Linked DNA regions of Coturnix japonica. The protein of the gene in region 1 interacts with the protein of each later gene in a biochemical or structural test. Links are inferred from orthologs where the notes say so. Each region holds a gene or a part of one and is shown on either strand. Other genes may lie near its edges. The genes, in order: CDK9 and CCNT2.

Region 1 (4,438 bases):
AAGCTGGGGGCCTTCCCCATTTCCCCCGCATTCCACCACAATGGAAAATCCCAGCTTGGCCGGGGCCGTGGGAGATGGGTTTTGCTCAGCTCCCGGGGGAGCTCAGGGGTCGGCCTCCCTCCGGCGCCGGCATCAGCATGATGGAGGCAGAGGAATGCGGGGAGCAGCAGTGAAGGCAATGTCCTGCTCAGTGCAGCGCTGGCGGCGTGCAGCCCCATGGAGCCTCCTCCGAGGGCTTTGGGGAAAACCCGAGGGCTGTGAGAAAGAGCTCAGCTCCCTCCTGGTGGGCAGCAGCACTTCCTCTGTGCTCAGCTCCCACCGCTTCGGTCCCGAGCGCGGCTCCATCAGTGCAGATTTATCCCCAGCATCCACCCCATCCCTCTGCTGCAGGAGCACACAGAGGGCTCCTGGACACCACCAGCCCCAGCCATGCAGAGGGGTAAATGCTCCCTGAAAGCTGTGATTTGGGGGATCAGAGCAATGGTTCACCCCTGTCACATGCTGGCAACCAGTGCAAGCAGACTGCTCCCAGTCCAACCCCAGCACCAGAGCCATCAGCACCAGGGTTTGCTCCAGCTGTGGGGATGGAAGCCCCCAGAGCCCCCAGTTTCCTAACAAAACTGAAGACTTCTTGCTAATGAGAGGTGACCACGCTCACACTCACACACCCCCTTCCCACCCACGCCAGCCCAGGTGAGCACCCAGCACCCACCCCCTCCATCCCGATACGACTTACTGAATTTCTTGAAGCCCCCTCGTTTCTGGCCCTCAGCCATGGCTGTGCTGGGTGGAGGCTGCAGGGACAAGTTTATAAACTTGAAGCCTGTCCCTGCCTGCTCCTCCCTTCCTGTCCCCCCTCCGCCTCTCGCTTTGCTCTCTCAATCACTCAGCGCTTCCTCCTCGCTGCTGCCATCTGCTCTTATGGCAGCTGCTGTCCCCGCTATCCCCTGCGGTCCCATCCCTTATTGTCCCTGTGCTCCCATCCCTTATTGTCCCTTCAGTCCCATCCCCTGTTGTCCCTGCACTCCCATCCCTTGTGATCCCTGCACTCCCATCCCATATTGTCCCTGCAGTCCCATCCCTTGCTGTCCCTGTGCTCCCATCCCTTGTGATCCTTGCAGTCCCATCCCTTGTTGTCCCTACAGTCCCCTCCTGGCTGCTCAGGTGCCATTAATGGGATTAATGTGCTTTAGGGCCGCCCTTGAATGGCTGGGTGCCGGCATGGGGCAGGCTGGCAGCTCCATGGCTGGAGGTCCCCATATGGGGCTCAGCTCCATGGTGGAGCCCCAAGGCCCCACTGCACCATGTGCTGGTGGAGCTGTGTTGTCTGTGGGGTCATTTCTATGGGGGATGCAGTGGCCCAGAGCTGGTGGGCAGCCCCAGGGCCTTGTCCTATGGAGTGTCCCTGTATGGCCACGGCCCTTCCTATGTGGGTGACACTGTGAGGGAGGGAACGCGGGCACACAGCTATAGACAGCCATAAAGCCGCAGGGTGATACGGGTTTATCCGGGGTGACAACATGGCGGCCTAAGGTGGACTACAAATCCCAGCAGGCAGCGCGCCGGCGCGCCGGAAATAGCGTAAGGCGAGAGGGCGGAAGTGAAGCCGTCGGCCGGCATGGCCAAGCAGTACGACATGGTGGAGTGCCCGTTCTGCGATGAGGTGTCCAAGTACGAGAAGCTCGCCAAGATCGGGCAGGGCACGTTCGGGTGAGCGCTGCGGGCCTCGGCTCTGCTCCCAGCCCGGGCATGGCTCCTATGGGGCCGATTATCTGCTGTTATTCAGCGTCATGGGGAACAGGCCGCGGCCTGACCCGGGGCCTTTGTGCTGTGGGGGCTGCGGGCCTCGGCCTCCTCCTTATGGGGCTCATGGGGCCTTGTTGTTGTTACATGGGTCTCTCCGTGTTGTTATATGGGTCCTTGTTGTTGTTACGTGGGTCCTTGTTGTTACGTGGGTCTCTCCGTGTTGTTATATGGGTCCTTGTTGTTACATGGGTCTCTTCTTGTTGTTACAGGGAGGTGTTCAAAGCCAAACACCGGCAGACGGGGAAAAAGGTGGCGCTGAAGAAGGTGCTGATGGAGAACGAGAAGGAGGGGGTAGGTGTGAGCTGTGCTGTGCTATGGAGGGGATGGGGTGGGGGGTGGGCTATGGAACATCAGTGTGTATTAACTTTAATGGTGTTTACTGCTGTAACGTGCCAGGTCTTGAGTAACAGCACACAGCACATGGGGGTGGGGTGGTTGTGCTGTGGGTCAATTGGGGCTTTGCCATGTGCTGTGCTCATAGATGGGAAAGGAGGGCAGGTGTCCATGTCACACAAACACCTCCACCTTGTGGCAGAATCCTAAGGGTGGCCAATGAGTTTTGTCGCCCCTGTAATGTTTTGTAGTTTCAATTACTCTTAAATGAGCTGTTGCAGTGCTACTCAAGCAGGTGTCCTGTGCTGCAGCAGTCCAATCTCTCCTGTTCTATAAGCAGATGTGAGCTGCACTCCTAACCTGTGTCTTCTCCTTTCCAGTTCCCCATCACAGCTCTGCGAGAGATTAAAATCCTCCAGCTGCTGAAGCATGAGAATGTGGTGAACCTCATAGAAATCTGTAGGACCAAAGGTAGCTGCCGGGGTCTCATTTGTGCTGTGCTGAGGGGGTGTCTGTTTTCAGCCTTTGTTCTTGGCTCAGCAGGCTGCTGTGTTGCACTGGGGGTGGATCCTCCAGCTGAGCATGTGTTTAATCTGGGGTGACCACACGCTCATCTGTGGAAACTCATTTTGAATGAGTGCTACTGTGCTGCAGCTTGGCTGGAAAAAGCTGTTGTCAGTGCTGCTGGCACATGCCTGTGCTGTCTCAGTGACTGCTGTCTGTGTGCTGGCTGAATGGCTTTAAATGAACCTGCAGCAGGAGAGAATGTGAAACAGAACGTTTTCTGCCTGGTGGTGGTTTTGCAGCTTTATGATGCTGATGCCATTGGGAGCAGGAGCCGTGTTTCTGCAGCTCGTGGAGCTTTGTGCTGGTGACAGCTCCAGCTGGAGACTTGCTCAGCCTCTCCTGTGCATGACAGAACCCCCCAGGCTTTGAGGGCTGGATTGGAAGTGCTGCCACTTCACAGTGAGCAATTCAGTTGCTCTGTGCTGAGCTGCTGTTCCATCTCATCGCTGCAGGCAGTCCCTGGGGGAGGCAGCACGTCTCTGCTGTGTGACTGATGTGCTTAATGCACCTGGCCAGGCTCAGTTTCCAGGGAAATCATTTTAAAGCATTTCCTCATTTTTATATATCCTTCTCTTATATGGATTTGTACTGCAAAAGAGGTTTGGAAAGCGACAGATGATATTAAAGCCTGCCATGCTGTAGTCAGTTCTTTTTGGTTAAATACAATTGATAATAGCACCTTTCTGCTGCTGTTTTTTACACTCAACTGGTAGGAATCTCAGGCCTAGGTCTGGGAACTTGGTGTTGCTCCATAGAATGTAGGTAACTGTCGGTTTTTGAACCAGTAGGTAGGAGGAAAAACACTGAGTTAATGTTTAATTCTTGGATTGATTAAACCAGCTGTGATGACTGCATGCTGCTGGCACGTCTCAGGTCAATATTTTTGTAGCTGTGTCAGATTGTTTGGGTCTTGTTTAAATTCTACTTTTCTACCTTGACCTCAGATTCAAGTGAAAAACAGAAACATTTCATTGACTGTTCTCAGACTTTAAGCTTTTCTCTTTTTATGTTGGAAGAGGGGTTGTGAGGACGGCACCACTGTCATGTGCAATCTAGAAAGCATCCTCCAGGCTGCATTTACTGTGCAGGCTGAGCTTAGCCCACATTTTCTGGTTCTTGCTGCTGATCAGCAGGTTTTGCTGTGCACAGCTGATCAAAATCAGCCTTTTGTTTTGGTGTTTTGCACGTGTGCTCTAGGAGCAAGATTGAAATTGATTGCTTCATTTGAGGTTTCCTGTCATTGACCATAAATTGCAATTGAAGTTGGGGTTTTAAATCATATTGATCTGCATCAGTCTGTTCTCATAGACACCATTTGAGGTTGCAGTAAACTTCACTTTCTGATGTTGCTTTAGAAATATTTGCTGTATTCCTGTGAGTCTGTCTTTGCCTGTTCCTCCTCTAATGCTGATGCAATGATTGTGCTCGGCTGTCAGCTGTGTGTGTGCACCCACGGGCTGCAGTTTGTAGGCACAAAACCCCACAGCTGTTAATACACGCAGCACAACACACAAATGAAGCTTTCAAAGACTTTTTTGCTCTTGCTTTGCCTTTCTCATGATGTTCACTACCACTCTGATCCTCATCCACTGTTGCTTGTTTTGCTGTTTTAATACCTCTTTTTGAAGGCTCTTGAGGCATCTGGAGTCCCTGTTTTGATGTTCCTCTGCCGTGAGGTTTCACCTAGTGAGTGAGGATGGATGGAGGTCAGGAGGAACTAAATCCCTTGCTG
Region 2 (2,837 bases), on another chromosome or scaffold:
CAGTTGAGATCACAAGTACTGCAAACTCAGGCATGATGAAAGCTAAGCTCAAAAGTAATTCACTTGGCCTCTGTGAAACTCTGGGTATCTTCATCTAATCATCTCAATCAAAGACTGTATAATGAGCTGTATTTTTTTTAACTGTAGTTAAGATTTTAATTGTCCATATTACACTGATTTATTTTTTAGTACTTAAGTGCAGAAGAATGAATGGTGACTTTATTTACTATTAACCGGACTTTTTATAGGAACAGCAAATTAAATTTTGTCAGATAAATGCCTTGCCCTTAGTTTTACTAAGGCATTAAGGCATCTTAAGAATTTAAACAGAAAATTGTTCCATGAACTGCTGTTTAACTGCTGTTGTTTGACAGATGATCTTAAGCTGTATGTTAATGGCTGATTTGTTTGGTTTTCCTGTTTTACATGTTTGGTTTCCTTTGGTTCCTCATTACAAAATTTGTGTGCAACAGTCTTCACCTTACTACGTTCTGTCTTCAATACAAGCCTACAGTGATAGCTTGTGTGTGCATTCACTTGGCCTGCAAGTGGTCCAACTGGGAGATTCCAGTATCAACTGATGGAAAACACTGGTGGGAATATGTAGATCCTTCAGTTACTCTGGAATTGCTAGATGGTAAGTAATGCTGCCTTTTCACATCCTGAGATTCAAATGCTTATTAATGTGGCTGTAAAAATAGTAGCATGGTATTGTAAGAGCATAGCTTTAATCCCAAAACAAGTCTCACTGATCTCACATACTGAATCCTCATATAAGACAAAGGTATAAGAAAGGGAAGAACTGAGGAGGACAGTTTTGGAAACCATCTTTTTTAAACTTGTGGGATGGGATTTCCATGTACCTTCTGTAGGTGCACATCAGAGTTTTGCTTTTAAATGATTTCCAGAACAAGGAAACCGGGCAGAGAAACATGTATGCAAATCCATCTCTTCTGATAGTTATTTCTGGTTTCACTGTCACTGAGACAACTGTTCTCAGGTCATAATATAACACTGCCAAATTAATAAGGGTAATTCTATGTTAACAATTTGGTTTCAACTCTCAAACTACTGCAGAAATGGTGTTCTCTTGTTGAATGTGCTATCCTGATAGTTTGTGGATTAGCAAGTTCCAAAGACAGGAACTGTATCTACTACAGTGGAGTCTGAATTTAAGGCCTGTTATAGAGGTGGTAGTTTCTTGGGTTCTCAAATATTTTGGGCTTTGCTGATAGTTCTAGATGGAAGAACTTGTTTCAGAGGAGTGGTACAAGTGTGCAGGCATTATATGGCCCACCATAGCTTTCCATTAAAATTAAATTAAATTTCAATTAAAAGTAATTATTTTATGCGAGCTGACATGTATGGAGATCTGTGTTTCCTTGTGGCCACACAACTTGCAAAGGGTTTTTTTCCTTCTAAACACAGCCAGCTACTTTGCCTTGAACACAAATCAAAAACTGTTGTTTAAAATAGTGCTTCAAAGGGTCAGATGGCTGATATTTTGCTCAGAGCTATTACTGGTTGTTCCTTAAGTTCAGTGCAATAACTGAAACCATGACTTAAATTTCCTTTAAAGTCTAAACTTCTTAACTTCACACAATAAATACTTAAGCTGAATGACAGGTGTGTTATTTTAGGAGCTTTTGTTTGTACAGTTTCCTCTAGAAAATTTTTCATCTAATAAATGCAGATTCCGCAAGAGTATGAACAACATTGGAAATGTGGACCTGCTTTGCAGAGCATGTTTGGTGGTTAGAGGTCTGTCATAGTGAAACACTGTACCCTTTTTTTGTTCAGCACTTGTCAAACAAGATTTTGATTAAATAATTCAGATTGTGTGTAGCCTGCACTAACAACTGCTAAAGCCTAGAAAAATTATAGAAGTTGAACCTGCTTATTACAGACATAGCTGTAAAACATCTTTTTTGTTTCTCTACTCAGAACTAACTCACGAGTTTCTTCAAATACTGGAGAAAACACCTAGCAGGCTGAAGAGAATTAGAAATTGGAGGGTAAGAAATTTTCCTATATCAGTGCAGCAAAAAGAAGTTCCCAGAAGAACTATGAGCTGCTTTTTATTCCCCATGCACAGCTGGGGGATAAAACTTTGAATCAGCTTTTATCCTCACCTGTAAGCTAATTTAGTTGTTTGGTTTTTTTTTTCACTAGCATTCTAAGATTTGTATTTTCTCACATCTTCTTCAGGCTAACCAAGCTGCTAAGAAACCTAAAGGTGATGGACAGGTATCTGAGAACTCACTTCTTGGCTCATCTTTGGTCCAGAATTCCATTTTGGTGGATACAGTTACTGGTGTAGCTGCAAACACAAGTTTCCAAAAACCATCAACGTCATTTCCTGCACCGGTACCTCTGACCTCAGGAAGTATTTCTGTTCCAGACAGTCATGCACCTGAAAATTTGGCAATACTAGCAACAGGAATGCCAAGTACCTCATACAATTTGGCATCGCACCAGGAATGGCCTCAGCATCAAGAACAAACAAGGACGGAACAAATATATTCTCAAAAACAGGAGGCGTTACCTCCTAATCAGTATAATATGAACTTCCAACAAGGAACATCTGTGCAGTTACACTCTGGAGTGCATCACAGACCTGACAAACTTGCTGAACATTCTACTGTCAAACAAGAATATTCTCATAAGTCAGGAAACAAACACCACGGACAAGTTGCTGCTCCTATAATAATTCCTCAAAAAATGTCTTTGGATAAATATAGAGAGAAACGCAAACTAGAAACCCTTGAACTAGATGTAAGAGAACACTATGTAGCAACTCCAGGTGAACAGACACATAAAAAGCACGTGCAGGCACA

Evidence for each region.
Region 2: the proteins of CDK9 (region 1) and CCNT2 form a complex in vitro, tested with the Homo sapiens proteins (4 studies listed by BioGRID, with this or other methods). The link is inferred for Coturnix japonica from reciprocal best matches to the Homo sapiens genes CDK9 and CCNT2.

Annotation. Positions count from the first base shown.
Region 1 is NC_029532.1:3,652,248-3,656,685, reverse strand, and holds the start of CDK9 (cyclin-dependent kinase 9), read left to right. Parts: upstream 1-1,575; 5' UTR 1,576-1,618; coding exon 1,619-1,710; intron 1,711-2,015; coding exon 2,016-2,097; intron 2,098-2,519; coding exon 2,520-2,610; intron 2,611-4,438. Other genes in the region: SH2D3C (SH2 domain-containing protein 3C), read right to left, coding at 737-776. UniProt on the Homo sapiens protein: Protein kinase involved in the regulation of transcription.
Region 2 is NC_029522.1:27,675,655-27,678,491, forward strand, and holds part of CCNT2 (cyclin-T2), read left to right. Parts: intron 1-473; coding exon 474-637; intron 638-1,944; coding exon 1,945-2,015; intron 2,016-2,208; coding exon 2,209-2,837. UniProt on the Homo sapiens protein: Regulatory subunit of the cyclin-dependent kinase pair (CDK9/cyclin T) complex, also called positive transcription elongation factor B (P-TEFB), which is proposed to facilitate the transition from abortive to production elongation by phosphorylating the CTD (carboxy-terminal domain) of the large subunit of RNA polymerase II (RNAP II).